Linked DNA regions of Stegostoma tigrinum. The protein of the gene in region 2 purifies or fractionates together with the protein of the main gene of each other region. This does not show direct contact. Links are inferred from orthologs where the notes say so. Each region holds a gene or a part of one and is shown on either strand. Other genes may lie near its edges.

What was found.
Region 1: the proteins of raf1b (region 2) and bag2 purify together in Homo sapiens (co-immunoprecipitation; 3 studies listed by BioGRID and IntAct, with this or other methods). This does not show direct contact. The link is inferred for Stegostoma tigrinum from reciprocal best matches to the Homo sapiens genes RAF1 and BAG2.
Region 3: the proteins of raf1b (region 2) and dicer1 purify together in Homo sapiens (affinity purification with mass spectrometry; 3 studies listed by BioGRID and IntAct, with this or other methods). This does not show direct contact. The link is inferred for Stegostoma tigrinum from reciprocal best matches to the Homo sapiens genes RAF1 and DICER1.
Region 4: the proteins of raf1b (region 2) and timm50 purify together in Homo sapiens (affinity purification with mass spectrometry; 4 studies listed by BioGRID and IntAct, with this or other methods). This does not show direct contact. The link is inferred for Stegostoma tigrinum from reciprocal best matches to the Homo sapiens genes RAF1 and TIMM50.

The regions. Positions count from the first base shown.
Region 1 is NC_081357.1:92,219,340-92,226,869, forward strand, and holds the start of bag2 (BAG family molecular chaperone regulator 2), read right to left. Parts: upstream 3,007-7,530; 5' UTR 2,285-3,006; coding exon 2,163-2,284; intron 2,110-2,162; exon of another isoform or gene 1,750-2,109; intron 1-1,749. UniProt on the Homo sapiens protein: Co-chaperone for HSP70 and HSC70 chaperone proteins. Acts as a nucleotide-exchange factor (NEF) promoting the release of ADP from the HSP70 and HSC70 proteins thereby triggering client/substrate protein release.
Region 2 is NC_081364.1:25,156,108-25,163,910, reverse strand, and holds the start of raf1b (RAF proto-oncogene serine/threonine-protein kinase), read left to right. Parts: upstream 1-4,784; 5' UTR 4,785-4,799; coding exon 4,800-4,807; intron 4,808-4,953; exon of another isoform or gene 4,954-5,566; intron 5,567-7,803. UniProt on the Homo sapiens protein: Serine/threonine-protein kinase that acts as a regulatory link between the membrane-associated Ras GTPases and the MAPK/ERK cascade, and this critical regulatory link functions as a switch determining cell fate decisions including proliferation, differentiation, apoptosis, survival and oncogenic transformation.
Region 3 is NC_081363.1:6,496,681-6,503,892, forward strand, and holds the start of dicer1 (endoribonuclease Dicer), read left to right. Parts: upstream 1-4,206; 5' UTR 4,207-4,535; intron 4,536-7,212. UniProt on the Homo sapiens protein: Double-stranded RNA (dsRNA) endoribonuclease playing a central role in short dsRNA-mediated post-transcriptional gene silencing.
Region 4 is NC_081392.1:2,961,858-2,969,488, reverse strand, and holds the start of timm50 (mitochondrial import inner membrane translocase subunit TIM50), read left to right. Parts: upstream 1-4,625; 5' UTR 4,626-4,687; coding exon 4,688-5,093; intron 5,094-7,631. UniProt on the Homo sapiens protein: Essential component of the TIM23 complex, a complex that mediates the translocation of transit peptide-containing proteins across the mitochondrial inner membrane. Has some phosphatase activity in vitro; however such activity may not be relevant in vivo.

The sequences.
Region 1 (7,530 bases), on a different chromosome or scaffold from region 2:
AACTAACGCCTTCCTCTACACTGCCAAAAAAACCCAGCTAGTCTTGTCATCCACAATCTTATTTATCATCATTGATAAATATCACAAACAATCAAGAACTCAGTACCGATCCCTGTGGTACACCACTGCACACTGGGCTCCAGTCTCACAAACAACCATCTATCACCACCCTCTGTCTCCTGGAACGAAGCCAATTTTGGATCCAACTTGCCAAGTTACTTTGGATCCCATGAGCTTTTACCTTTTTTATCAGTTTTTGATTTGCAACTTTGTCAAAGGCCTGACTGAAATCCATATAAACTGCGTCAAACTACCCTACCCTGATTCAAACTCATGGTTAACTCCTCGAAAATTTCCACCAGATTTGCTGGCATGACTTCCCTCTGATAAATCCCTGCTGACTATCCGCGTCAAACCTTGTTTTGCTAAATGGAGATTAATTTTCTCATTCACTACTTTCTCCGATAATTTCCCTACTACTGATGTTAGTTTGAGTAGTCAATAGTTCCCTGGCCTATTTCTACCACCATTATTGTAAAATGGAACCACATTAGCTGTCCTCCAGTCCTCTAGCACATCCTCTGTAGCCAGAGAAGACTTAAAAATTTGGGTCAGAGCCCCTGTAATTTCCTCCCACGTCTCCCATAGCAGCTTGGGATACAACTCATCTAGAACTGGGATTTGTCCCCACTTTTAAATCCACCAAAATCTCCAATACCTCATCACTTCTTATATTTACAGTACAATATTTATTAGCAAAACAGATCAGAGAAAATGCTGCCTAGAAAGCAACTTTTTTAAGGGAATTTGTTAGTAATTTTTGAGGATGCAGTATAAGACGGTGTCAGATGTTTCTGTAGATTTAGCCATTCGCTCATTTTCATATTTGCTGAGAACAATTTAAACTACAAAAGCTAAAAAAAGTTTTAGTTTGAATATCTGTTAAAATTATATTGATTAACCATTTAAATGTTATTAGTTTAAGACAGGTAATTTTTAAACAATATTTACATCCCTAACTTACATAGCAATCAAGCCACAAGGCACGATCAACCTGAAGTTTCTGGCCCAGAGATAGTGATGCTAGCCGCCGGGTCACAGGCCTGTTTTGAAACTGCTATTTTCTTCCTCAATGTTTTCTTCAACAACATGCTGAAATGTTATAACACACCTCGCAGGCAGGTGGGTCTTCAACCTAGACGCCCTGGTCCAGGGATAGGGACATGACAACTGTGCAATTAAAATTCTTAAAAGCCTACTGCACGTTTATTTCCCAGGCTGTCTTCCATTCCAAGTACTGGTCAGGCCTGAATTGCTTAGCTTCTAAAATCAGACAAGATCAGTCATTTTCAGACTGGTATCGTTTTAGTCACTATTGTATTGACATGTAATTCTCAACTGCAGGAATAATTCAGAGTATTCATTGTGAATAAACGGGAATCGGGCACACAGCATATTAGTGTAAGTTTACCAAACCTTAAAAACAAAATGGGTTTTCAAGTTTTAGCAGTTGAGGCCACTGCAGTTCAAATGCAGTATCAATGCTGCTGCAAAACCTTTTGTTTAATCAATAATCATAAACCTGTGTCCTTTGATCAGGAGCCCCGCTTCCCGTCGGCTTTCCCCTGTGAAAACTCCCCAAGATTTTGAACAGCCCCATATTAGTGCTGTCTCCGGTCTTCCCGGCTGAAGGCCGAAAGAACTCTGTGCCTGTGATCCGATATTTTAAAAAATCAGAGCTGTACACACCGTTTACTGCTGACTGAAAGCTACAGTTGTATGCACCGAATATCACTAAGAGGCCAACTGCTGGGTAAGACGGGACGCGGCATGATTACGATTTGACAGAGCCTCAACGACCAGGCGAGAGGCACAGAGAGAGAGAGAGAGAGAGAGACAGCTAGAGAGGGGGCGGCGACAGGAAGTCTTCACTAAAAATAAAATCAGAAGTCTCTTTCCGATTCGGTAAGGCCATCCTGACCTCAAGGATTTTTTTTCTGTTTAGGATCCCAAAGAACAATTCCAGAAAATAACAATTACATTTTTCACCTTTTTAAAAAAAATTATAACAAATACGAGGATTACACTCGTTTCTCAACCTGTGTGTTATTTTTGTTTCTGTATGAACCGCTTTAAAGGACGGGACTGGTGTCCTCTCCTACCTCAGCTCTAAGTTGTCCAGTGTCTCCAGGAGCCGCCCCGATCGATCTGCCATGGACATAGAGCGGAAGAACTTGTTTTCTACATCGTTCCCCTTTACCTGATTGATCTTAGACTGGGCCATGATGCTGACAAGTTTCAGGGCTGTCAACTGGCCTTTCTCTCTCTCTCTCCCGTTCCTCCGGGAATCTTGGTTCCTCTTGTGGGATCTGCTCGTCTTCCTGTGGGAGATGAAGATTTCCAAATAGGGTGAGGACTCCCCCACTGTCCAAGGAGGGAGGGGTGGGGGGTAGGGTGGATAAACCTCTACTCACAGGAAAGAAGGATGCAGAACAGAGGCAACAGAAATCTCTCAGTCCCTGGCTCAGATTTATTCCTGGCCAGTGGGTTTTCTAGAAAAAAAAACTCAGCAGGCGCCAAGCAATATATTTAGCAAGGCGCATTTTTTCAATCTTTCCAGTCAACTGTTGATGGAGATTGTGAACATGTCAAAATCTTTTTTTAAAAAGTCTTTTATCCTCGTGTTTATTCTTTGTGAAACACTAATGTAAGCTGGAATTTCTTTTTCTGGACGTGATTCGTTCCATTTCCCACTCCGTCACCACCAAGTTCCCCTCTGAGCCCATATCTTGCTCTTCCTTCAATATCTCCAAAGACTGCAATGATTCAAGACTACAACTCACCACCAATAAATTAAAAAAATCGTTTTTTTTCAACCCTATTTTGAGATGAATGGGCTCATTTAAAAATGCTATGAGACGTACCAGTCTACCAAGATCGGGAATATATTGTTCTTTGATTATTCTGAAGTTGGATCTAGTCTTGGAGATCCGTGTGACAGTGAGTTGCACATATTCACCTCCGAGTCCGTTAGTTGCGCACGCTTTTAAGACCCCTGGTGATATGTGCATCCAGTCTAGGCTGACACTACTGCCCAGTATCGAGGATGTCCTTCACTAATGAAGGTGTTGTCTTTGAGATGATATGAAATAGATTGTCTTTCAGTGGCGCAAAAAATGTCGGTAGTTTTTTTAAAAAAAAAGAGTCCTAGCTAATAGTTCTCCCTTAATAAACATCACTTAAAATCTACTTGATCATTGTCAAGTGCAATGTAAAATGTTACAGTACTTCAGCGGCTGCAAAACACTTTGGAGTATCTGAAACCAATAAAAAAATACTAAATAGACATTTCAGGGATAGTAGGAACCTGCAGATACTGGAGAATATGAGATAACAAGGTATAGAGCTGGATGAACACAGCAGGCCAAGCAGCATCAGAGGAGCAGGAAGGGTGAGGTTTCAGGTCTAAACCCTTCTTCAGAAATGGGGGATGGAAAGGCGGTTCTGAAATAAATAGGGACAGAGGGAGAGGTGGAAAGAAGATGGATAGAGGAGAAGATAGGTGGAGGAGACAGACAAGTCAAAGAGGTGGGGATGGAGATAGTAAAGGTGAGTGTAGGTGTGGAGTTAGGGGGGGGGGGGAATAGGTCAGTCCAGGGAGGGCACACAGGTCAAGGCTGGTAGGTAGGTGATGGGGGTGGGGCTTGAGGTAGGAGGAAGGGATAGGTGGGAGGAAGGGCAAGTTAGGGACGCAGGGACAAGTTGGGCTGGTTTTGAGATGTGGTTTGGGGAAGGGAGATTTTTGGAACCTGTGTGAAGTCCACATTGATACCATTAGGCTGCAGGGTTCCCAAGCAAAATATGAGCTGCTGTTCCTGCAAACTTTGGGTGGCATTGTCGTGGCACTGCAGGAGGCCCAGAATGGACATGTTGTTGAAGGAGTGGGGGGGGGGGGGGGGGGGAGAGTTGAAATGGCTCGTAACTGGGAGGTGCAGTTATTTGTTGTGAATCAAGCGTAGGTGTTCTGCAAAGCGGTCCCCAAGCCTCCACTTGGTTTTCCCCGATGTCGAAGAGGCCACATCCGGAACAGAGAAACAGTATACCACATTAGCAGATGTGTTTTGATGTGGAAAGTCTTCTTGGGGCCTGCGATGGGGGTGAGGGGGGAGGTGTAGCACTTCCTGCGGTTGCAGCAAAAAAAATGCCCTGGGTGGTGGGGCTGGTGGGGAGTGTGGAGTGGACAAGGGAGTTACAGAGAGCGCAGTCCCTCTGGAAAGCAGATAAGGGTGAGGAGAGAAAAATGTCTTTGGTAGTGCGGTCAGATTGCAGACGGCGGAAGTGCTGGAGGATGATGCGTTGGATTCAGAGGTTGGTGAGGTGGTATGTGAGGATGAAGGGATCCTGTTTTGGTTGTGACTGCAGGGAGAGGGTGTGAGGGATGATTCACAAACTTGTCAATCTCCCCATCCCGATCACATCGCAAAACCAGCCAGGCTCGTACCCACCTCCCTAACTTGTCCTTCCTCCCACCTCAAGCCCCACTCCCATCTCCTACCTACCAGCCTCATCTGCCCCCTTGACTTGTCTCCCTGGACTGACCTATCCCCTCCCTACCTCCCCACCAAGACTCACTTTTACTGGCTCCATCCCCACCTCTCTGACCTGTCTGTCTCCTCTCCACCTATCTTCTCCTTTATTCATCTTCTATCCACCTCCCCCTCTCTCCCTATTTATTTCAGAATCCCCTTCTTCTCCCCCATTTCTGAAGAGGAGTCTGGACCCGAAATGTCAGCTTACCTGCTCCTCGGCCTATGTTCATCCAGCTCTACACCTTGTTATCCCACTAAATAGAAGGTCTTCCTTTAACCTTCATGTGGCCATCCATGTGCACAAAAAGTGTACCAGGCTTCAATCATATGCAAACGGTTGAAATAAAAAGCAGGAACTTACTTGGAAAGTTTGGATGGAAGGAGATTCACAACATTTCTTTCTTTGGTCATTTATTCTCTGTATAGTTCATTGGATGTTACTGACATGTTGGTTGCATTACTTGAAGATGTTTAAATAAAGAATCACTAATGATGCAGTACCCATCAGATCATGTCTCCATCAAGTCAAATAGACAGCCAGACAAGCTGGTTATGTTGTTCTGTTTGATTGATCTTCCAGCACATCATCTTCCACTAAGCGTTTCTCACCTGTTTTGATATCCTCTTTGGCCCCCTCACCTGTTGTCTGCTAATACGATTGTAAGGCTACAATTGTGTTTGCTACATTAACTGTGCAATATAAACGGCAAGCTTTTGGAGGTAGAGAGAAGAATTAAATAGCCAAGTCACTGAAAGAACTCTGTTCTTCACCTATATTTGAGCTGCTTGCCATTTCCGAAACACATCACTTCTGACAGTGCTGCAATGAAATATCAGGTCAAGTTATATAATGAAGTTCAGGTTGATCTCAAAACACTGAGGTGATAATGTCACAAAGTTTGTCACAATGAGTTTGAGCTGATGTTTTTGTTGATAAGGCTCTACGCAAATATAATTATGTCTCTCTCTCAAAATATCTCAGAAAATCTCATGACGATGGGTGAAGAAAAAATATTTGATTTACGCAGCATCTATCATAATCTCCAGATATCCCAAATTCCTTCATAGCAAATGAAGCACTTTTGGAAGCTTCTTCATTATTGTAAGGAACGCAATAACCATTTTGTACAAAACAAAACTGTACTATCAGAAAAAGCTAAGTGGAGGGGAAGGGAAATCAATGTGAAATATACATTCCAGGGAAGTACATGTAAAAGATCTCCTATCTTGGTTGCAGTTTATAGTGTTGCTTTAATACGAACAATAATGAATTTCAGCATTGTACATACCTTCTTCAAATTAGTCCGCATTAGTCATACCAATTGAGTCATGTGCTTATGGGGATTTACCCAATGTTTATCGAGATATAGTGAATCTGAACAATTAACATATGTACCCCTTGTATTTCAACTTCACCGAAAGTGAGAAGAGTGGATATTAAATGAGTGTCTTGGCTCAAATTGGTATTCTGATCTATCAGTGTACTGTACACAAAACAAGATTTCAATCAGTTTCACTTAGTTTAACAGATTCGACTCATCTCTGCCCAAAGACAAGTGGTAATCAGAGATCTTGCACCTTTTTGTTTTTGAGTGTTGGACATTCTGGAAAATTATTAACTGAATTTCCTTGCATCTTTGAACAACAGGATTTCCAATATAAAAAGATAGTTCTAAGGTGGACGTTAACTAACAGCAATGTTTAACAATGAGTAATTAAGGTGTAATTTTTGTGGCAAGGACAATAAACATTGGTAGAGCTATCCATTGACCATACATAATGATTAATAAAATCTCTTCTTCAAAGTCTTTAAAAAGAGAGGTAGTCCTATTCAAGGAAAGTAGCTTTTGTAACATACAAGCACTTTACAGCAATATTACTTCAAAGGATTTGGGAAGAGATGTCCTGAGGTCTTATCTATGAAATGCACCTTTGATGTAGGTAAGATATGGTGCATGACAAAGCATGGTTTGCAACATGATTCTTCAAAGAGTACTGAAGATAAAAACTGAAGCTGAAAAGTCATGAACTCATGTTGAGCTTTGAACCTCTCTGATGTTTGGCATCATGACTTTGTTTAGCATGCTACATTTCAATATCTCATACTTTTGGGGGTGGGGAATGAACAATCCATAAAACCTTGTAATATGCTGTGGTCAGAGGTTCAAAGCCTAGCAAGGCAGCTGGAGGAATTTAAATGCCATCAATAAATCTAGAATTAAAAGTCTGCCTCAGTAATTTTCTTCTGAAGGTTTCGACAGCCTCTGTATCCATTACACTCTCAGGTGGTGCATTCCAGATCATCAAAACTGTCCACTGAGTTATACTGCATTATCTTCTTCCTGCATGTATTGTTACAACCCTATCCATTCTTTATAACTTTTCCTTCTCTACCCAACTGCTAACCTTAATTTTTAAAAAAATTTTATCAGAAAAGACTGGGATTCCGTATAAAGTTCACGATTCAGTCAGCACCCTCCCCTCCGCTGGGGAATTGACTTTGGGAACAGCAGGAATCATTACGGATCTGATTGTCCATTAGTTGGTCACCACACAGAAACACACAAAGCAGAAACATAACCAAAGCTAAGAGGGAGTTAAACCCTATGACCTCTTAATAGATGGAAAATCAGCTTGTTAAAACAATTACAAATCTGGAGGAAAAAATTATGGGGTGGGGGTGGTGGAGGAATAAAGTTGTAAAGCCAAACCCTGCAGAGTTGTGTGGAGTGGAGAATCAACAACTAGAGCTTTGGCAGTGAAGTCCATGAAAGGACTGCTCCCAGAGAGGAGACAGACCGCATGCTCGGTTGGTAGGGAACCACGGGGGAGACTGGTTGAAACAAAGAACAGACAAGTGCGACTGGAGCAATAAAGGTTGAACTGGAAGACCGTTTTTGGAAAGGGGCTGTATTGAGTGTCCCCGCCTGATAGGATACCA
Region 2 (7,803 bases):
TTCATTCACTCAGAATAAATCCATTGCCATTCAAATTATACTATTATGACATGAAAAACCCGAAAAGCTCATAAAACCAAATAATTAAGTCTATGGTAAAGAGTTAAATCACAATTCCGATTTCCCACTTAATTTTAACAACACCAGTATTACTCTTTCCTGTGAAATCGGGAATCGTCGCCATTTGTAATTTGATCACTTCAGCCATGTTATATTTGTTGCACTAGATGGCAGTGCAGTCCAGTTTAATCTCTGCCTTCCACTAACATTGATCAGTTTGAGGAAGCTCAAGCTATATTTAACTTTCAGTTTCCTTCTATTAACTTTGTAATCCTGAAATTCCTATTAAAGCATCTTGTTTGAATCCATGTTTGAACCCCTCCAAATAGCTTTTGCCCTACTATTGCACTCAAATACTTCATAACAAAATTAGAAATGGCGTTCTGTATGACTATGGCAATGGTAAACAGTCCCTCATTACACTTCCCTATCTGTTTGCAGCCTTTGACACATTGACCACACTATCCTCTTCAGTATCACTCCAGCATCATCTTGCTGGGGGGGACATTATTCTCTACTCCCTATCCACCAACTCCACACACTCTTCCTATTTGATTCTGAGTTGATCATATACAGGTAATGTCATGAAGACTGCCCATTTTCACTTCTGTATCACAATTTGGCTCATGTGTCCATTCTACCAATAAATTCCCACCCCAGTCTTTGTTACTGTTTTACTTGACTATTCCAACACACACCTTGTCAGCCATCATAGCCTCCAAAAACTTAAATTCATCTGAAACTCTGCTTTCACAAAAATATAGAAAATAAGAACAGGGGTAGATCATTCAGTGCTTCAACATAATTATGTCCAATCAGCCAACTCGGTAGACTGTTCCCTCTTTCTCCCCATACTATTTGATCCCTTTAGTCCTATGAATGTATCTAGTTCCTTCTTGAAAACTTTTCATGTCCCAACGTGTACCAAATTTGATTCGACTGTAACCTTTGTGCATGCTAGCCCGCATAGGTTTCTGCTTTTTAAATTCTTATCCTTGTTTTTAGATCCCTCCTTCATCTCATTGCTCCCTAGCTCTGTAATCTCCTCCCATTCTCCAAAGAGCGCAACCTCCAATTCTTATCTCTTGAGCACTTAAAATTTTCATCACTCCATCACTGATGATTGTGTATCCATTACCAAGATCATAAAACTTTTTTTTCATTCATTCATAGGATGGGCATGTCATTGGCTGGGCCAGCACTTATTGCCCATCCCTAATTGCCTTTGAGAAGGTGGTGGTGAATTGGCTTCTTGAACTGCTGCATTTCATTTGGTTAGTTATACCCACAATGCTGTCATGCGCGCAATTTTAGGATTTTGGCCCAGCGACATTGAAGAATTGGCATTATATTTCCAAGTCAAGATGGTGAGTGGCTTAGAATGGAACTTACAGGTGGTGGTGTTTCATGTACCTTCTGTTGATGCCCTTCCAGGTGGTAACATTTGTGAGTCTGGAAGATGTTATCTAAGGAGCCTTGGTGAGCTACTGTAGTGCATCTTGTTGATGGTACACACCACACTTACTGAGCATCGGTGATGGAGGAAGTGAATATTTGTGGATGTGGCACTATTGAAGCAGGCTGCTTTGTTCTGGATGGTGTTAAACTTATTGAGTGTTGCTGAAGCTGCACTTTTCCAGATAAGTAAGGAGTAATCCATTGCATTCCCGTTTTATGCTTTAGAGGTGGTAGGCAGGCTTCCCTCCAGGGAGTCAGGAAATGAGTTGCTGCAGGATTGCCAGCCTCTGACCTATTCTTGGAGCTACAGTATATGTGTGGCTACTCAAATAAAAGCAAAATATTTCAAATGTTGGAAATTTGAAATAAACAGAAAATCCTGGAGAAACTCAGCAGGTCTGGCAGCATCTGTGGAGGGAGAGCAACAGATTTAAAGTTTCGAATAAAATATCATCATCAAATCCCTACAGTGTGAAAGCAGGCCATTCCCATCAAGCCCACACCACCACCCCAAACAGCAATCCCACCCTGACCTACCCCATCCCTGTAACTCTGCTTTTCCCATGTCTAACCCACCTAGCCTGCACATCCCTGGACACTATAGAACAATTTAGCATGGCCAATCCACTTAACTTGCACATCTTTGGACTGTGGAAGGAAACCCAGCCAGACACAGAGAGAATGTGCAAACTCCACACAGACAGCCAAATGAAGGTGGAATCAAACCTGGGTCCAACACACTGAGGCAGTAGTGCTAACCACTGAGCCATCATGCCATCCTCTGTTCTGAAGAAGAGTAATATTAGACTTGAAACATTAACTCTATCTCTGTTTCAACAGATGCTGCCAAACCTGGTGATTTTCTCCAGCATTTTCTGCTGTTATTTATAAGGGTAGTCGAGTTCACTTTCTGGTCAAAGTTAACCTCCAGGATGGTTATGTTTCCTCCCTAAATCACATATTTCCCCTCTTTCCTGCTTTAAGACAATCCTTAAAATCTACTTAATATCTCTCGTACATTTCTATGTGTAGTTTGTTACTACATTTTGTTTGATATACACCAGAAAAATTATGTTGGATAACTTAGTGCAGTAAAGGTACTAATAAATTAATGTTGCCATGTTTTTTTTATTCATTCACAGGATGAGGGTGTTGCTGGATATGCCGCATTTATTGCCCATCCCTAATTGCCCAGAGGGCAGTTAAGAGTCAACACATTGCTGTGGGTCTGGAGTCACGTGTAGGCCAGACCAGGTAAGGATGGAAGATTCCTTCCCTAAAGGTTTATTCATGTATAATCAATTACATATCGAAACCGTATTGAAAGATTGGTTGTGTAGTTAGAAAATTGCCTCAGTTAAACATTTAAACATAATCAACAATAGGTACTGGCTCAGTAGCTTTCTTTAAAATGACAATTGTGGCCCAAGAAGTCTGTACTGGCAAAGATATACTAAATCGTCACTTTCCAGCACTAAAGGTATTGTAATAACTATGTAGTTATATATCATAATATGCACTTGTTTTAAGGCTGTTCTGTGTTCAATCATATTTAATTTCAAACTTATTGCATGGAAGTTGACATTTTAAAAAGTGCAAGTCAGCATCTCTTTACAACAACGTCATAATAGTAGCTTGGATTCATACTGATCTCTATTTTAGCAGAGATGAAAGCAGTATTGGACCTAGAAAATCTTTGGAGTAATTGAATCTGAAGATGACAGTGGTGTGAACAAGAGTTTCAGCAGAAATTTCCTTTTTGACTTGACCAGCGTGTAAATGGATTACATAATGAATTGGAAGTAGATGTCTTTCTGACAGAAGGAAGATACGTTGAAAGCTCAGTCCAGCAATGAATAGGATAATAAGGGTCTAAACAGTCTGATAAACCACGAGACAGTTACAGTAGCTCACTGGAGTTGCACTATTAATTGTCACATTAACACATTATTTTCTTCATTATATCTCAAGAAAGTAGCAAATATAATCAATCAAAATGGTGGATGCTGTAAATCAGGAACAAAAACAGAAGTTGCTGGAAAAGCTCAGCAGGTCTGGCAGCATCTGTGAAGGGTCACTGGACCCGAAATGTTAACTCTGATTTTTTTCTTCACAGATGCTGCCAGACCTGCTGACGTTTTCCAGCAACTTCTGTTTTTGTAGCAAATATAATCATTTTATTCAAGAAGGAGAAAGGCTGTATGTAGACCAAGTAACGTGACATCTGATATCTGGAAGGCATTGGAATTATGAAAGGGATTATACCTTAGAAAAACATGAAGTAGTCAGCAAGAGTCAACATCATTTCATCAAAGAGAAATCATGTTTAGCCAATTTGTTGGAGTTCTTTGATGGAGTTCCATGGTCTGTGGATAATTGTAAACCTGCAGATGAGCTGGACTTGGATTTCCAGATGGCATTTGATAAGGTGGCACATAAATGGTATTTGCAGAAAATAAAAACTCATGGTGTGTAATGCATTGATAGAAAACTGACTGGTTGGCAGAAAATAAACAGTATGCATAAATAGGGCTTGGATGTGATAAGTCTTCCAGGTCAAATCCTGGTCTTTGCCTGAGCCTAAATTCATCAGATCCCAATCTTTCATCTACATGGCCCAGTTCAATTATCTTCTCTTCTTGATCTAAACTGATTTACTGGCATACCACAAGGAATTGACTAACGTTCTGTGCAATTGAGAATTTTAAATGTTTACTTAGATAAGAAATTTAAAGTATTAGACAAAAAGTTTGATGGGGGCAGCAAAATTATTTGGAATAGATTTGTTTTTTCAATGAGGAACCGTTTAAAAGCAACAGTACAACTGCAAACAAATGCAAAATGCCGTAGATGCTGGAAATCTGAAATAGAAACTGAAAATACACGTAATACTCAACAGGTATGAGTTCTACACCTGAGTCCAGAGTGGACAATGTGATGCGCCGAGGTTCCCAGCGCAAGGCGTCAAATTCACTTTGAAAAGCGGAAAATGGTGCCAATACTCAGCGGTTCAGGGCTGATTATAACTGAAAGGCTGGCGTATCTGCCCTCTCCACCTATACTGATTGACCTGAGTGTGTCCTCAGCATTTTCCGTTCGTGATCAGATTTCCAGCACATGCTTTTTAAAAAACATATATAAATGGTCTTTAGCGTGTTCAGCTGCTCAGTTGGACTCTCTGAACAAGCCAGAGACGGACACAATGATGTTATAATTGTTTTTTTGTGCGTGTCAGGGTGGTTGTTTCGACCGACAGCTACAAGACACTCTCATTTCCAAACATGCCGAGGTAAGCTAACAGGATGGAGTGGTCAAATGACCTCGGTGGAATTTCACTTGCTATTTGCAGTGCAGTGTCCCTAAAGCCTGGCAACAGGCTGACGATGGCTGTAAATCCACTATCTTATTTCAACTGTCTGACGTCATCCAAACTCACATTTCTTAACGTTGGAAGAGCAGAGAGAAAACTTTAATGTACTTTGCAAATTAATTTACCAAACACTACACCTTTCTCTGACTCATTTGTCTTCGGTGTGAGGGAGACTTTTATTGTTCTATGTCCGTCTCCAAGGGTCTGAGGAACTTTTTGGTGTTTATGCTCCTCTCACGAAAAGCAATGCATCTTTTCCAGTGCCCGTGACCTGATAGTTGCTTCTCTTTAGACCGTGTGTGAGTGCCGGAGCAGGTATTTAGCTCCCATTCAATGGGGTGGGGGAGGCGAGTTTGCAGACTCGCGCAAATGGTTTGAGAGGACGACCGTTCTCCTGCATTGGAATCGCGAATATCCTAGCTCTTCCGGCATCCTGCACGCAGGGCTGCGATGTGAACGGAGCCTGTGATCGCAGCAGTTGGCCAGAGTGTGTGGGAACCAGTGTGCAAGTGGGGGAATATGATGATGTCAGCGGGCGACAACTTTCTCGCTTAGTTATGGCGGAGGTCAACTTGAGAGAGTTGGCCAACCTTCGGATCTCCAACACGGCAGCGGGGATCGGCGCCGAGTCCTCACCCGGCTCCCTCGACCTTTAAAGGGACAGCGATCGGTGAAAGTGTGAGTGCGGTTGGGTGCACTGGGAAAGGGTTAAAGCCGCCGTTTGTTCCCTCTTGTCTGGTTTTATTTTGTTGTTGGTTGCTGCGGGTGGCTGTCCCTCTTTGCAGGAGGGCCCAAAGCGTCGAGCTTGTAGGCCGGTCCCAAAAATATCTGTTTTCTTTTAAGTTTTCCTTCCCCACCTTCCTCGACCCGAAAAGACTGCTCGGCGTAAGGCCGTTTCCCTCTTGGCGGTAACACGCAGCGACCATTGTAGAAGTTGTGCACACATTGTGCAGTCTGTCTGAGTGCCCAGGGTCAGCGCGATTGCTTTCGCCTCTGTTACACTAACTCGATCTATTGTGCGCTTCACATCTTTTCAAAATCCACCGAGTTCGGAGGAGGTAGTGCTGGTGGCGGTGGCGGGGCGGGGGTAGGAGGTGGTGGTTGGACCAAGTAAACTCAGAATATTTCGAGGGGCACAGAGACAGAGAGAGACAGAGAGAGAAAATAAAAATGGTCTGGTTCGCCCACACGATATTTATTCGAGCAAGAACACCGTCAACACACGCCGGGGTTTCATTCGGTTGAAAAATCCAAACACCTCGCCAGTGACTCCACTCCAGAGGGTTGTCACTCTCGCTAACTAATCTGCCGTGTGACTGTGAGAAGGTTTACTTGTTTCAAGTGAGCGGAGAGAATTCTCACGTGTACGATTCAGAAAGCATTCACGCGTGTCCTGAATGACACACAGGCACGATGGTGGTGGTCTGTGACTGTATGTGTGAGTGTCTGTCTGTACGTGGTTTGGGCTGGGTTTGGTGGTGGGTGGGGTTGCGAATTTTCACCCAACTCTTAGGCAAGTGGTTCTGTCGTGCGAGGCTTCCAAAAGGGGGAAACACCCATTCTGGAAATAAACTCCAGACGTAGAGATCCTTTCGTACTAATCGATCATTAACTGAAGTCTTTGGATGTAAACCTGGATCAAACAGATCGAAGCATGATAATGGCAGTGCGGTATCATTCTTTCGATCACTAGGAGCCAGACTTCCTTGAAACTGCCGAAATAGCTCTAAGCTTTTTTTTTAAGTTGAAGGCAGTTCAGTCAGCAGGCCCACAAAACATTACACCAGTGTAAATTCTACACTTATTCTATCCACTTATGCAGAATCCCTCTCGCATGCTGTCGATTCACACATTTTTATATAAAACAACACATTGCTGTTTGTTGTTGTATCCAGTTTAATATGTTTAAAAATAGGTAAATATTACCTCCAGTTTCAGGCAGTTTGCTGATAATTGGCTACCAGCACTTTCTCCTGCGTAGCATTGCTTGCAATTGAGATTTTGATATTTGGTAAATGTATTTTTCTGGTATTTACACTATAAAATTGAAGGTAACACAGTAAACATTGAGGCACACATAAAATTAAGTGGAAACTCATTTGAGATTGAGAAGAGTGTACCTTTTATTTTGTGAACTGGAAGTACAAAAATATAAATCTCCCAGAACTGACCCAAACCTGTCCTTGGTCTTCAGTTTTGGGAATCATTTAGAGTGTCTGTGTTGATTCACATATCTGTTTGATAAGACACTCAGGATGTAACACTGAAAAGTATGGTGTCATGTGACTACCACAGTGATGATTCTGATTTTTGTCTGTAGTGATCCCTGGGGGCACCTTTCTAAATGGATGTGGGAATATTGTGCGCCATAGTACACAATGGACTATCTCCCTACCACTCCTACGATTATTTGTGGGGTTGAACAAGAAAACATTTTGTAATTGGGATGTTTTATTTGTGAATGAAATATCAACAATCTTTCATAACATTATATATCAGACCAGGAAATGTTGGAGGACTATACAAAGAGATCCACTGTGTTTTGTGCTGTTGATCTGGCAAGCAATCTGTACACAACAGCCTAAAATACACCACCAATTCTGATGCTGTCCTTGCTTAAATATGTGAGAATGGAACTGCAGAAAGACTGGTATTTCTTTGTGTGACCCTATGAATAGGAGTTACATAAATTTGCATTCAGTTACTGTTCTGTGAATAACGACCCATAAACAACAGTCACTGTTTATGCTGGTACAGCCTTGGGTAGGTCAATTGTAGAAATAAGGTCACACTGGGAAAGACTTATCTAGATCTTGACACATAACAGGTAAACAATGCAGGAATTTGGATGTTTGTAGGAGTACTTATTTCACCATAGGTGGTAACTACTGCATACATAAAATACATAGAATATA
Region 3 (7,212 bases), on a different chromosome or scaffold from region 2:
GCCATTCCTAGATGTCACAGTAGAGCGAACAGCCAATGGGGAACTTCAAACCAGCGTCTACGGGAAAATAACACATACGGACCAAATACTGAACTACAGGAGCAACCATCCCAACACCCACAAACGAAGCTGCATTAGAACATTATTCCAACGAGCCACCACACACTGCAGCACAGAGGAACTACGAAGAGCAGAAGAAAATCACCTATACAGCGTATTCAAAAAGAATGGGAGCACAAAAGCTGACGTTTTGGGCCTAGACCCTTCTTCAGAGAGGGGGATGGTAAGAGTGAACTAGAATAAATAGGGAGAGAGGGGGAGGCGGATCAAAGATGGAGAGAAAAGAAGATAGGTAGAGAGGAGAGTGTAGGTGAGGAGGTAGGGAGGGGATAGGTCAGTCCAGGGAAGACGGACAGGTCGAAGAGGCGGGATGAGGTGGTAGGTAGGAAATGGAGGTGCGGCTTGAGGTGGGAGGAAGGGATGGGTGAGAGGAAGAACAGGTTAGTGAAGCGGAGACAGGCTGGGCTGGTTTTGGGATGCAGTGGGGAATGGGAAGAACTCCCCCCACTGCATCACAAAGCCAGCCCAGCTCGTCCCCTCCCCCCGCCCCCCACTGCATCCCAAAACCAGCCCAGCCTGTCTCCACTTCCCTAACCTGTTCTTCCTCTCACCCATCCCTTCCTCCCACCTCAAGCCGCACTTCCATTTCCTACCTACCACCTCATCCCGCCTCCTCGACCTGTCCATCTTCCCTGGACTGACCTATCCCCTCCCTACCTCCTCACCTATACTCTCCTATCTACCTGTCTTCTTTTCTCTCCATCTTCGGTCCACCTCCCCCTCTCTCCCCATCCCCCTCTCTGAAGAACGGTCTAGGCCCGAAACATTAGCTTTTGTGCTCCTGAGATGATGCTTGGCCTGCTGTGTTCATCCAGCTCCACACACAGTTCAACTCTTGCCCCATTTGAAATCAGCTCACTGTCAATTGATTTTTCTTACTCTGAATTGTTGCATGCCATTCTCCAACACTATCTTTCAACTGTATGGTACAAAAGACACTGTCTACTAACTGTTTCCCCCCCCACTGATATTTGATCCATCTGCCAGAGACAGATCATTTATTTTTTTCTATAGTTTTGAATTAACTGTTTCTTTCAATTACTGATCTTGAGAGCTTGATAGCCTCTCCCTTGATTATTCACACAACTGTGCTTAAATTTTCTTAGCTTTGACCAAGGCCTTCAGGTTTATTACCAAAATATTTCTGTTCTGGAATTCTTACATTGATGTAAGCTATTTCCTAACTGTTCTGGACTAACTCCTTGTTCCAGGAGAAATTGTTACATCTAAACCCAGCAAGGTCACATTTGAATGGAAATCAAAGGCTTTCCAATCTGTCGGTATTTCCTAAGAGAAAAACTATCGAATCTTCAAAATCAAAAACAAGGGAATATCTTTTAATATTTGCTCTTTAATTGTCTTGCTGTCAAAATACAAATAAGTCCATGTTATTGCTCTAAGAGAATGTTTCACATCTGCTCTGGCACATACCGGTTTTAAATCATCACTCCAGAATCATCCACTAGTTAATTACCCCATTTATCACAGAGGTGAACAATCCATATGCAGCTGGTTAAAGTCCAAACTCTCAAATAAACTGTACAAATATATAAGTATGCCCAATCTATTTTTATATGCAAACAGTGATATAGTACACAATTACATGTTTGTATGCAGAGCCATCACAACTTTTACAGATGAAAGCGAAATGAAAAGACAAATCATATTACAAAATTAAACTAATGTCTAAGATTCCTAACAGATACAGTGGTACTGTACTATGTATTCTAATTTAGCACAGTGCTCCAGAATGGTGAAACAGATTTCCTTCAAATTTCCTTATTCAAAGTTCAGCCCTGCTTGACTGAGATTTTTTTGAAGAGGTGACCAAGAAGATAGATGAAAACAGCGCAGTAGATGTTGTCTGCATGGATTTTAGCAAGACCTTCTACGAGGTTCTGCGAGATAGACTGGTGAGTGAGGTGAATTCACATGGGATTCCAGAGACACCTAGCCAATTGGATACAAAAATAGCTTGATGGTAGAAGACAGAGTGGTGGTAGGGCTTGTTCAGATAGAAGACCAATAGTGTACGGCAATGATTAGCGCTGAGTCCATTGCTGTTCGTCATTGCTATCAAATGATTTGGATGAGAATATAAGAGGCATGGTTTATAAGTTTGTGGATGACACCAAAATTGGTGGTTTAGTGAACAGTAAAGGTGATTATCGAAGAGTATGATGGGATTTTGATCCAGTGGGCCAAGGAATAGTAGATGGAGTTGAAAGCAAGCAAATTCAAGGTATTGCATTTTGGAAAGACAAACCAGGTCAGGACTTACACTGTTAATGTTAGGGCCCTGGAGGGCACTGCCAAGTGGAGAAACATAGGGGTGCAGGTACGTAGTTCCTTGAAAGTGGTGTCACAGGTAGTCAGGGTGGCAAAGAAAGCATTTGGGACAGTTGCCTTCATTGGTCAGAGCTTTGAGTACAGGAGTTGAGATGTCATGTTCCAGCTGTATACAACATTAGTAAGGCCCCATTTGGAGTACTGTGTATAATTTTGGTAACCCTACTATAGGAAGGATACAAAGAAAGATTTAGAAGGATATTCCTAACATTGGAAGGTTTGAGTTATAAGTAGAGGCTGGGACTTTTACTTAAGCATAGGAAGCTGAGCGGTGACCTTACAGAGATTTATAAAATCACGAGGGTCGTAGATGAGTTGAATTGCCAAGTTCTTTTCCCCAGGATAGGGGAGTTGAGAACTAAGGTGCATAGGTTTAATGTGAGAGGGGAAAGATTTAAAAGAATCATGAGGTGCAACTTTTACAGGTAGAGTGTGGTATATACATGGAACAAGCTGCCAGAGGAAGTGGTAGAGGTAAATATAATTACAACATTAAAAAGATATTTGGCGGATAGGAAAGGCTTAGAGGGATATGGGCCAAATTATGGCAAACGTTCAGTTTAGGAAACCTGGTCGGCATAGGCGAGTTGGGCCGAAGGGTCTGTTTCCGTGCTGTATGACTCTATATAAAAATAATAGAGTGGAAGCTTCAAAGATACAAGTATTGATCAACGTTCTCCTGTTAGCTCGCTGGGCATCTTGACAGTGTTGCGCGCCAGGGGCAGGTTAGTAGAGAGCTTTCTATTCCAGATGGTTAGATAAAGGCTATTGACGATATTTCGCAGCTTGTCGCCTGTCGCGCGCACAGTCTCAAGTGTCGACTGCCTGCCGCCGCTGAGTGATTGAGGTCGGGGCTGTGTTGGTTCTGGGACTGGAGGCGAGGCAGGCTGGACAGTTTCCAAACACAAACACGGAGAATGCTAGAGAAACGCAGCAGGTCTGGCAACATCTGTGGAGGCGGAAACACATCTAACGTTTCGAGACCGGTACTTTGAGTAAGAAACGTCAACTCAAAACATCATCTAAAAGCGAAAAACTACGATGCTACAAACCTGAAACACACAGGGGCAATGTCGGAGAAACTCAGGAGGTCTGAAAAATAGGCATAACCGGGTGGCTGGAAACTTTAACTGTTTCTCGCTCCACATTTGGTGCCAACTCTGCTGAGTTTCTCCAGCATATCCGGTGCTTGTTAACAAAGTGTGAAGCTGGTTGAACACAGCAGGCCAAGCAGCATCTCAGGAGCACAAAAGCTGACGTTTCGGGCCTAGACCCATTTTGTGCTCCTGAGATGCTGCTTGGCCTGCTGTGTTCATCCAGCTCTACACTTTGTTATCTTGGATTCTCCAGCATCTGCAGTTCCCATTATCTCATATCCTGTGTTTGTTTCGGATTTCCAGCGTCCGCGGTATTTTGCTTTTTAACATTCCACCGGGGCACGGCTGACACAAAGCTGGGTGTCACGGGGATTGTTTGTTTGTTGTTGCTGCTGCTGCTGCTGCAAACAGGAATGGTAGGGAGGCGACATCCAAGATGACAGCTTGTGAATACGGTCTATCTGTCCGCAAGCAGTTTGTTGACACCGCCAGCCGCAGCGATTTCCGGCCTACCCGACCATAACCAGCAACCCGATTGGATGTCAACTTCGCCCGGTTCCCGCAGACCAATCGGAATTCTTGGTGCATCAGGGTGGGCCGAAAGAAGTGGGTGGGGGTGCGAGGGAAAAAAGGGAGGCGAATGCGCGCGCAGCCTGCGGCCCATCCAGGTGGAGAGGCGAAGGCGTGGAAGGAAAAACACATTTAAAAAAAAACCATTTATAAAGAGGCCGGGGGTGGTGTATCGAACAAGAAAAGGCTGTGAAATGGGAAGGGAGGGAGGAATTAAATAAGAAAGCAAGTTACCTGAAGGGAGAAAAGGCGGGGTGCCGGCCAGAAACCGGGCAAGTAGCAGCGACAGCAGGGGAGGGGGAGGGGAACTGAAAACCGTCGCCATCCTCCCGAACTCTACCTCCTAACCTCTCCCTCCCCTCAACAACAAACACACTCAATGCATCGTTACAGCCGGGGGTAAGCTTCACTTCACGCTTACGTGTGTGTGTGTATACATATTATGTATATATTTATACTTTTAAAAATGCGTGCATAAATATCTAATCAGTGTAAATAACTGGTACTTGCTAATCCGTCGTACGGCTCTGCCTCCCTCCTCCTTCTCCTCCTCCGGCCGCGTGGCTGCGCGAGCGCCGCCAACGGACTCCCTTTACTAGAACGTTCCGCCAGCTTCTCACGCGCGCTGTGGCCGTTAACGGACGCCGTCTCTCACCTCCTGTTTGAATTTTTATTTCTTTTGTACCAACGGTGGTAAAGAGTTGGATTTTTAAAAATGTACTTTTTTTTTCTTAAATAACTCTTAACCCGGCCCACTGCCACCCAAGCCGGGGATCTTTACCCGACCCATGGATGCGACCTTAGCGATCAGAGGCCCAACAGATTTTATTGTTCGCATCCTCCCACCGTCCCCCCTTTTAAAAAAAATGAGAGAGACACGGTGGGGGTGGGGGGAACGGGACGGTGATTTGGATATTAAAGGTCTGGGCCGCTTAGCCTCGGAGTGGGAGTAGGTGGCTAAGGTGCGAGGCCTACTGTTCGGGCTTCTTTTCCCAGCCTCTCGGGTCTAATTGCGATTGGTAGGTGTTGCCTCTACATAGACACATCAGTTTCTCCCCCCGCAACCCCAACCCAGGGGGTGCCGCAATTCTTGGGGATCGTGTCTTAGTGCTCATTATTGGAGGCCGTGTTAAAGGACTTGTGATCCCGCTGGCTCTATCCGTTGTCGGCGGAGGAGAACGGGGAACGGGGCAGCCGCTGCTGTCTCGGAGTTAGAGGCAATAGAAACGCTCCCAGGAAACCAGTCTGCTTTGCACCTCCTGGTTCTTCTCAACCAGATCTTTAATATCTTTGGTTAGAGACCAAAAAAAAGTGCAGATGCTGGAATCTAAAGTAGTCAAGCAGGAGGTTGGAAGAACGCCGGAAGCCAGGCAGCATCTGCAGGAAAAGAGCAGTCATCATTTCGAGTATTCTAGCTGAAAGTTAACTGCTCCTTTCCTCCAAATGCTGCCTGACTTGTTGTGTTCTTCCAGCCTTTATCTTTAATACCTTTCACCTGCTGGGGGTTTTCTTAGTTCACATCCATTTTTTTTGCCTACTGTGCACTGGTACTCATGTTATGCCCTAGTTTCATTGATTTTTGTCCAGTTTAACAGCCTTTGAGGGTTTGACTTATTGGTTAACATTGTTAGTTTCTTCTGAGCAAAAACAGCTTGCATTTATATAACACCTTATATTTAAACATCCTAAAGAGCTTTCTTTATTTAAAAAATTATGTTAAAGGAAGTTGAGCAGAATCATGGAATGTATTAGAACAGATGACTAAAAATTCATTCAAATAAGTAGATTTTAAGGTGTTTATTCTAGGACATAGAAATTTAGCTTTCAGGAATTAGACAGTCGTAGGTATAGATGGCTAACCATGGTTGGGCAAAGGAAATCAGTAGTATGCGAAAGTTCAGAAAATTCCCCATTACATTTTTGGCTGTGGTCAAATCTTCTATACGTAGGTTTAAGTCGAACTAGCCTCACCTCATCTGATGTCCACATGTTGATGCCAAGTAGAGCTGTTAGTAAAAATTAAGTTGTCTTTTTTTAATTCATTAACGGGATGAGGGCATTGCTGGCTAGGCAGCATTAATTGCCCAGAGGGCAGTTAAGAGTCAACCACATTGCTGTGGGCCTGGAGTCACATGTCGGACAGACCAGACAAGGATGGCAGTTTCATTCCCTAGAGGACAGTTGTGAACCAGATGGGTTTTTCCCAATAATTGACAATGGATTCATGGTCATTGTTAGACCCCTAATTCCAGATATTTATCAAATACTAATTCCACCGTCTGCCATAGCGGGATTTGAACCCAGGTCCCCAGGAATACAACGTGGGAAAGTGAGAGATGATGCACTTTGGTAAGAAGAACAGAAGCATGGACTATTTTCTAAATGGGGAGAAAATTCAGAAGTCTGAAGTGCGAAGAGGCTTGGGAGTTGTAGTCCAGGATTCTCTCACCTTAAACTTAAAGGTTGAGTCAGTAGTTAGGAAAGCAAATGCGACTTCTGCGTTTATTTTGAGGAGACTCGAGTATAAAAGCAAGGTTGTACACCTGAGGCTCTGGTCAGGCTGCTTTTCGAGTATTGTGTGGAGTTTTGGGCCCCATATCTCAAGAAGGATGCGCTGGCCCTGGAGCAGGTTCAGAAGAAGTTCAGGAGAATGATTCCAGCAATGAAAGCCCTGATATGAGGAACATTTGAGGACGCTGGATCTATACGTGATGGAGTTTAGAAGAGTGAGGGAATTGAAACTTACAGAATGATGAATGGCCTGGACGGAGTGGATATTGGGAAGAAGCCTCTGGGGGTCCTCTCGGGTCCTGTTGGTAGGAGAGACAGGACCTGAGAGCACAGCCTTAGAGTAAAGGGAAGATCTTTTAGATCGGAGACAAGGAGAAACATCTTCAGCCAGAGATAGATAATCTGTGGAGTTCATTGCCACGGTGATCAAAGGTTATGGGGAGAAAGCGAGAGAATGGGGTTGAGAAACTAAGAGCCATGATTGATTGGCAGAGCAGACTCAGTGGACTGAATAACCTAATTTCTGCTCCTGTGTCTTATTTTATTAAATTTTTATGTTTGGTCG
Region 4 (7,631 bases), on a different chromosome or scaffold from region 2:
GCTTCAGAATCTCAATGTTAGCCATGTTTTTATTCTAATACTGAGCTCTCACTGAGGAAGGCTTGAGGCTTTCCTAGGTTCACAAATGTCTAGTAAGCTTCTCATCCCAGACTGAAATGACTGACACCTTTATCCTAAGACTGGTACTACATCACTGACTGATGTTAATGTAGATGTGGTTTCCAGGAGGGAGTCAATGAAAAGTAATCAGAAACCCAAAATCCAAGATCTACCACCTTCTTTGGCCATTGAATGTTGATGAAATTACAGTTGAAATCAATTCCACACCCACTGGGAATTAAATTTGGACCTAGCTGGTTTGTGGCTCTAAATTTTGGTGAATAAGTGATGCCTTTATCCAATTATTCCTTTGGGAGGCTAGTGGAAGAATCACAACACAGTCCGGATGTGCACACCAGATTTGTGTCCCACCTGGTTAACAAGATTGACTTTCAGATTACTTTCTTATTACTGATTTTCCAAAGAAAAAGTGAATTATGGGTCATGCCAAGCCCTCTAAAAGCCTGCAAAACCTTTAGGTAGAGTTAGAATAATCTACTTAAGAGCCGTCTTGGAATGAGTGATGTCGGGTCATGGTGCAGAAACATGGCAAGATACTGTGCTGTGGGTACAGAATTGCTTCCCAATTCCACTGCATTCTATTTTGTGAGGAGGTGCTAAGAGGAACCAGGCATGTGTACCTTCTTGATTCCAGGTGCTTTGTGATCTGGGAGACCAGACAAGATGTAAAACCAAAAGGGTTGTGGTTTTGGCTGTTCATTTGGGGAACAGTTTTACTGGTGCTGGCACCACCTTTCTTTTCTGTGGCATGCCAAAAGATATGAAAGTGACAGACAATGGGCCAAAGCATTAGTTTGAGGTTTTACACTGATTCTTAAAGAAGGGGAAAGAGAAATAAATATTTAAATTCCAGAGCATAAGGCCCAGGTACATTGCAATTTAGTTAGCAGAGGAACTGGATTTTGGATTGGAGAATGTTGGGAATGCAATTAAGGTCAAATTTAGAGGAACACAGTTCTTAATGGATTATCAATTTTGACATATAGAGAGAGGTGAGACCATGTCGGGATATGAACAAGTTTAAGACTGAATTAAGACCTTAATAAATAGGAATGAGAGTAGGCAGTTTGGCCCCCTGAGCCTGCGTGGCTATTCAGTAGGATCATGGCTGATCTGAAATTTGTCACGTTCACATCCTTCATGTGATCCTAAACAATTTGTGCTGGATGGATACTCAATTGATGAATGGCATCAGAATCAAGTCTGGCAGTCTTCGCTTCCTGACGTTTGGGTGTGGGCTCAGTGGAAGATGAGAAATTTATTAAGGGAATTCCACAGCCTGGGCAGTAGGCTATGTTAGTGTTAACTGATGATGCACAGAGCATTGGAGCCAGATCTTAAATGGGGATAGTGGCTGGGAATGGCAAAACAGAAAGAAACTAGATTTTTTTAAAAATTGACCCTATGACCTCATTGCATTTATATAGTGCCTTTCACAACTTCAGTACATCTCAATTAATTTCCTTATTGCTAATTTGGCTATAATAGTACAGATATTAATTTGGATGCAACAAAATCCCACTAACTTACTGTTAAATTGTAATGAAAAAAAATCAACTGTTGAAGTACTCAACAGATCTGACAGCATCTGTAGAGACAGAAAGTTAAGGTTTTGAGTCAGATATGACCTCCAGAGTAATGTATGTTGTTGAGGGATAGATATCAGCCACGACATTGGGGATAATGCCAGGATTCTTCAAAATAATGCCATTGAACCTATTATCACCATCTGAGACAGTAAACAAGACCTCTGTTTAATGCTTCATTTGACACATAATGGAACAGGGATAGGCTTCTCAGCCCTTCACTGTTATCTCTCTTGATAACATCTTGGCTGATTTGATTACTTCACATTGCTGTGTCTCCACCCTAACCTTTTGACTCCCTTGTTGGTCAAGAACCGACGCTACCTTAAAAGTATTCAATGACTACTCTTCCCCTGTGGCCTGGAGAAGAGAATTCCAAAGATTCAGCCTAGTTTTTGTTTTTGAAAAATAAACCCCTTATTTTTGAACTGGAAAACCTATTTCTAGTGTCTCCCACAAGGGTTACCATCCTTTTAACATATCGCTTATGAAGACTTCTCATATCATATATGTTTCAATAAGATCGTCTTATTTTCAGAACTCCAGTGGAGATAGGCACAGTCTGTCCAATCTTTCCTCTCAAAAAAACACCTTCATCCTAGGTGTCAATTGAGTGGACCTTTTCTGAATTGCATCCAACATATGTACATCCTTTCTTAAATGAGATCAAAACTCGACATAACGTAAGTATAGCCCCAATAATATTCTATACAACCATAGCAAAACATTTCCACTTCAGTTTTCCGTTTCTCTTGCAATAGATGACTATATTGTGCTTGGCTTGCCTTCACAGAAAGAAGATGTACCTCCAACAGTATTCACTCAGTATTACACTTGCAATACTGCTGATACAGGAGATATGAAATAAAATGTGTGTTGGAGAAGCTCAGCAGATCTGGTAGTATCTGTAGAGAATGAAACAGTTAATGTTTCAAGTCCTTAAAATTAGAGGAAGAGTGAAGTTCTGAAAAAAGTGACACTGGATTGAAAGATTGTATCTGTTTCTCTCTCCAGAGATATTGCTGAGCCTATTGAATTTGCCTAACATTTTCTGCTTTTGTGACACTTGGAGTGTCATCCAGGATTTTGTGTCCAAGTCCCCTGTTTGGGAATTAACTCAATGTCCTTCTGACTGAAGCAAGCACTCAGCAAACTCAACCACTGCATTGTCATTTGATGTCAAGCCTAGTCTGACTTTTAAGACATGACCACATCTAAGCAAATTCTATACAACATGACTAAATACAAAGTTTTGCACTTCAGTGTGAAAAACAGAAAGCAAGAATATTATTTAAATGATCATCTTTTGGGAAGTATGGATGTACAAAGGGATTTGGGTATCTGTGTACATCAGTCAATAAATGGGAGTTCTGAAGAACTGGACTCAACATTAATTCTCTTTCTCTGCACGGATGCTGCTAGACCTGCTCAGTTTCTTTAGCAATTTCTGTTTTTGAGCCAATAAATGTAGATAGGTGCAACAGGTAATTTGGAAAACAAATGGTACATTGTCTTTCATTGCAAGAGAATTTGAGTTCAGAAGCAGGGGTGTCTTAATGTAGCCATACAGGGTCTTGGTGTAACTACAGCAGGAGTATGGCATGTAGTTTTGGTCTCCTTGCCTAAAAATGGATATATTCCCATGGAAGGAGTGCAGTGGAGATTCACTAGGCTGCTACTGGTTATGACAAAACTCTCAATAAGGAAAAATTGGTTCAACTGGACCTGGTAGAGTTTAGAAAGATGAGAGGGGATCTGATTGAATCATGTAAAGTTCCAACAGGACTAGACTTATTTGATGCAGAGAGGATGTTTTCCCTGTCTGGGAAATCTCGAACCAGAAATCACAGCATCAGACTACGAGAGTTGACTATTTAGGTCAGAGATGAGGAACAATTTCTTCATTGAATTTGTGGAATTCACTGTCACTGAAGGCTGTGGAGGCCAAGTCACTGAATACCTCCAAGAAAGATAGAGATAGTAAGAACTGCAGATGCTGGAATCAGAGATGATACCATGTAGACCTGGAGGAACACAGCAGACCAGACAGAGGAAATATAGAGATAATGGGAACTGCAGATGCTGGAGAATCTGCGATAATAAAGTGTGGAGCTGGATGAACACAGCAGGCCAAGCAGCATCTTAGGAGCACAAAAGCTGACGTTTGGGGAAACGTCATCTTTTGTGCTCCTAAGACGCTGCTTGGCCTGCTGTGTTCTTGCAGCTCCACACTTTGTTATCAGAGAAAATATAGATACATTTTTATTTTATAGATACATTCAAAGGCATTGAGGGGTAGGGGCAGAAAGTAAGGCTATGACATTGAGGTTGAGGATCGTTCATGATCATTTTGAATCCAAGGTTCAAAAAAGTTTGTATGTTTCTAGCACTGGACTGCAGTGATTCAAGAGGGCAGCTCAAGGCTAGCTAGGGATGGGAAATATCTGGTTGATGAATATATTTTAAAAATTCAGTCCTTTTGCTATATTCTTTTACATGTTTCTTTATCAAATATTTACCCCAATCCCCTCCAAAACTGTAATGTATTCTGCTTCTCCAACCTCTGCATAATAAGCTCTCATTTGCTCAGTTGAAGATGACCTTGAATTGATGTTCTTCAGTTAAAAATTCTCTGCATTTGTCATCCATGTGAAAGCTCTGGTGTTTATGTTTTGTTCCTTTTTTTGTTAAAGAAATAAGTCTCTGTCAGAGTTATTTTCCTACATTTCTCCATGATTTCGCAGGTATTTTGAATCGGGTTTTAGATTTCCTTCAGGATTCATTTGTCCTCCTTCGCCCACTGTGATGACCTTTGGCATGTTTCGGGGTGGGGGAGGAAAACACGAAAACCAACCGGGCTTGCTGACTGTCAGGTCCTCTCTATCGTGGCTTTGATTGGCTAAGTGACGTCGCCGCGCGTAAGCGCCTCCTTTTCCGTTTGGTCCTGCCCCACGTCAATCAGACAAAATGTGTATTCGGTTGAGAGGGAGTGTGTGAAAGGGGTGGGAGGTCGGCTCAAGATGGCGGCGTCGCTCAGTTGCATGTGTCGCCGCTCAACGCTGGACCTCTGCAGGAAAATCTTACGCTGCCGGCCTGCGACCAGTCGCAAAAGGTCCGCTTTGAAAAGTTGTGAGGTAAAACTCGGCTCTTCGCCGGCGTGTCGGACCCTGTCGACGGAAAGAGGCCGCGGGCCGAGCGGCGCCGGGGCGGGAGGCCTGGCTCATGCGATCCTGCAGGAGAAGCTGCAGCAGCAGGAACGGGCCAAAGAAGAGGCCGGCAGCGGGGAGCCAGGGGCTGGCAGCAGCGATTCCGGCGCCGACCAGGAGCAGAAACAGAAGCAAAATGCAGCCTATGCCAAGAAAATGGTGCTGAGACTGGCGGGACTGCTGGGGGCCGGCAGCGCCTTCGCGGTGGTCTACGTCTTCGGTGAGTGGCAGTAGTTTAGTGTCCACATCTGAAAAATCTCCAGCTGAAACTTCATGTTGCTGCATTGTTATCTCCCATTTACTATGTCACCTGTCATGCTGCAGTTGCAGACTATAGCCATGGGGTGGCACAGTGAAACGGTTTAGCTTAGGGTCTATCTGAATACTTAAGTGATCTTGTCATTAACAGTGTAACGCGTCTTTAGGAGTGTGGATACACTAGCTTATAGAATTACAGGATTGTCTCAGTATAGAAGCTGGCCGTTTAACCGAGTCTGATGAAGGGCCATATGGATTCAAAATGCCAACTTGCTTTCTTTCCATGGATGCTGTCTGTACCAGTTGTCCAAATGAGCATAAGCTAATGCCTGTTGAATCTCTTCTTAACTTAGGGAGGGTGTTGTACCACATCTATCTCTCACTTGTAGCTGATACAGGAACAATTCTTCCCTTACGCCTTGTGTTACAAAGATTTTCAAATAGCTGATCAACCTGTGTGGCTGCTTTATGATACCGGTTCTGTGGCCATTATATCCTAAGGTAGGCCTTGACCTCGAATTTCTGGTCAGAAGTAGTAAGGATGCTATATACTATGCCTTTAGACTCCTAGTGTAATTTTAATAATTACCAGCTTGGGTGGTTAGCTAGATGTGACTATAGTGCTGGCTGAATTGTACATCTGTTAGTTATTTGAATGTTACCTAAAGATCAAGACCTGTTGTTTTAGCTCTTTGCCTTGCTATCATCAGGGAAAATGCAAGAATGTCAGATTTCAAAATTAACAGAACAGTTTACACTACAGGAGGAACAAAAATGCTGATCAGTTGACAAGTTGGTTCTGATTAGCTGAGTCACCAAAGCAATGGGAAACCTTTTGATTCTCCAAGTTCCTGAATAATTCAGAAAAGCCATGAGGCCATGCTTGTGAAAACTAAAACACAGCACTTATCCATTAGATGTGATTCTGGATATGTCAGTAGGGACACTAACAGCCAATGTAAGGCAATCAAACACATGGGTAATGTGGCTCACCTATTTTGCTAAATGTGACAGTCAAAATAATGTCTATAAACAAAATAAACATGTTCAGGCCTTGCACCTTTTTAAGAATTACCCAAGAACCTAGAATTCTTCACCCAGATCTCAAAGGAACTTGGGACCTTTTTCACTAGTACTGTTTCTCATTTTAGTATGCATTGAGAGATTAGCTTTAAAAATGGTGAAACCATTTTATTACTTCAGTTCATAAATGTTGAAACAAAAAATAAGTTGAATAAATGCAATGAACTGGCTAAAAACTATCTCAACTGGCCAGCACAGTGGCTCAGTGGTTAGCACTACAGCCTCACAGTGCCAGGGACCCGGGTTCAATTCCAGCCTCGGGCAACTGTCTGTGTGGAGTTTGTAAATTCTCCCCATGCCTGCGTGCGTTTCCTCCCACAGTTCTAAGATGTGCAGGCTAGGTGGATCGGCCATGCCAAATTGCCCATAGTGTTCAGGGGTGTGTGGGTTATGGGTCTGGGTGGGATGCGCCAACGGGCGATGCGGACTTGTTGGGCCGAAGGGCCTGTTTCCACACTGTAGGGAATCTAGGCTAATCTAAAGTCATTTTACTTCCTGCAATTCTCTTCTATCTTGACCAGAGATTCTTCTCCAGCTCCGAGGTAACTTTTTCTGTCTTTGATAGCCACATATGTTTCATTATTCATTCATAGGATGTGGGGAGTCGCTGGGTCGGCCAGCATTTATTGCCCAGGGGGCATACAAAAGCAACCATGTTGCTTTCAGTCTGGAGTCATAGGTAGGCCAGTCCAGGTAAGGATGGCAGTTCCCTTCCCTAAAGGGCATTAGTGAATCCAGGTGGGTTTTCTCGATAATCGGCAATGAATTCACAGTCATCAGTAGACTCTTAATTCCAGATATTTTAAAAATTGAATTCACATTCCACCATCTACCATAGCCAGATTTTAACCCAGGTCCCCAGAACATCACCTGGGTCTCTAGGTTAATAGCCCAGTGATAATACCACCAGGCCATTGCCTCCCCGATTTCTTGCTGCTGCTTAGCTTAATCATTTGATGTGAAGAAATAACTCATTCTGCCAACAGCGAGGAGCATAGCTGTTTTGGGCAAAGGAAGTGCTCAGGCTGAAACACACTGTTGCTTTTTCCATATTTGCTATCAAATTGAAGAATACAGTTCCTTCGCATTTCCTGTTTTTCAGCTTGTAAAATCAGAACAAAGTATCCTTGTCTTGAAACATTGGTACCATTTCAACTTTAGTTCTCCCAAATGACTAAAGTACAAGGTGCAGTCTCTGACAATTGCCATTATCTTGTGGTATCAATACAGTTGTGGTACAGAGCTTGCAGCTTGGAGGTCGTGAGTTCAAATGCCAATATAGTAAATTTAAATTGAATTCAGCAAGTCTTGTAATTTGTAGACTAGCTCTGACCAATCAGTGACTAGGGGTACAATTCTTTATCCTTCCTTTCTTACCTGTACTAACTTAGTAAAAAAATAGATATTTTGTTTCCAC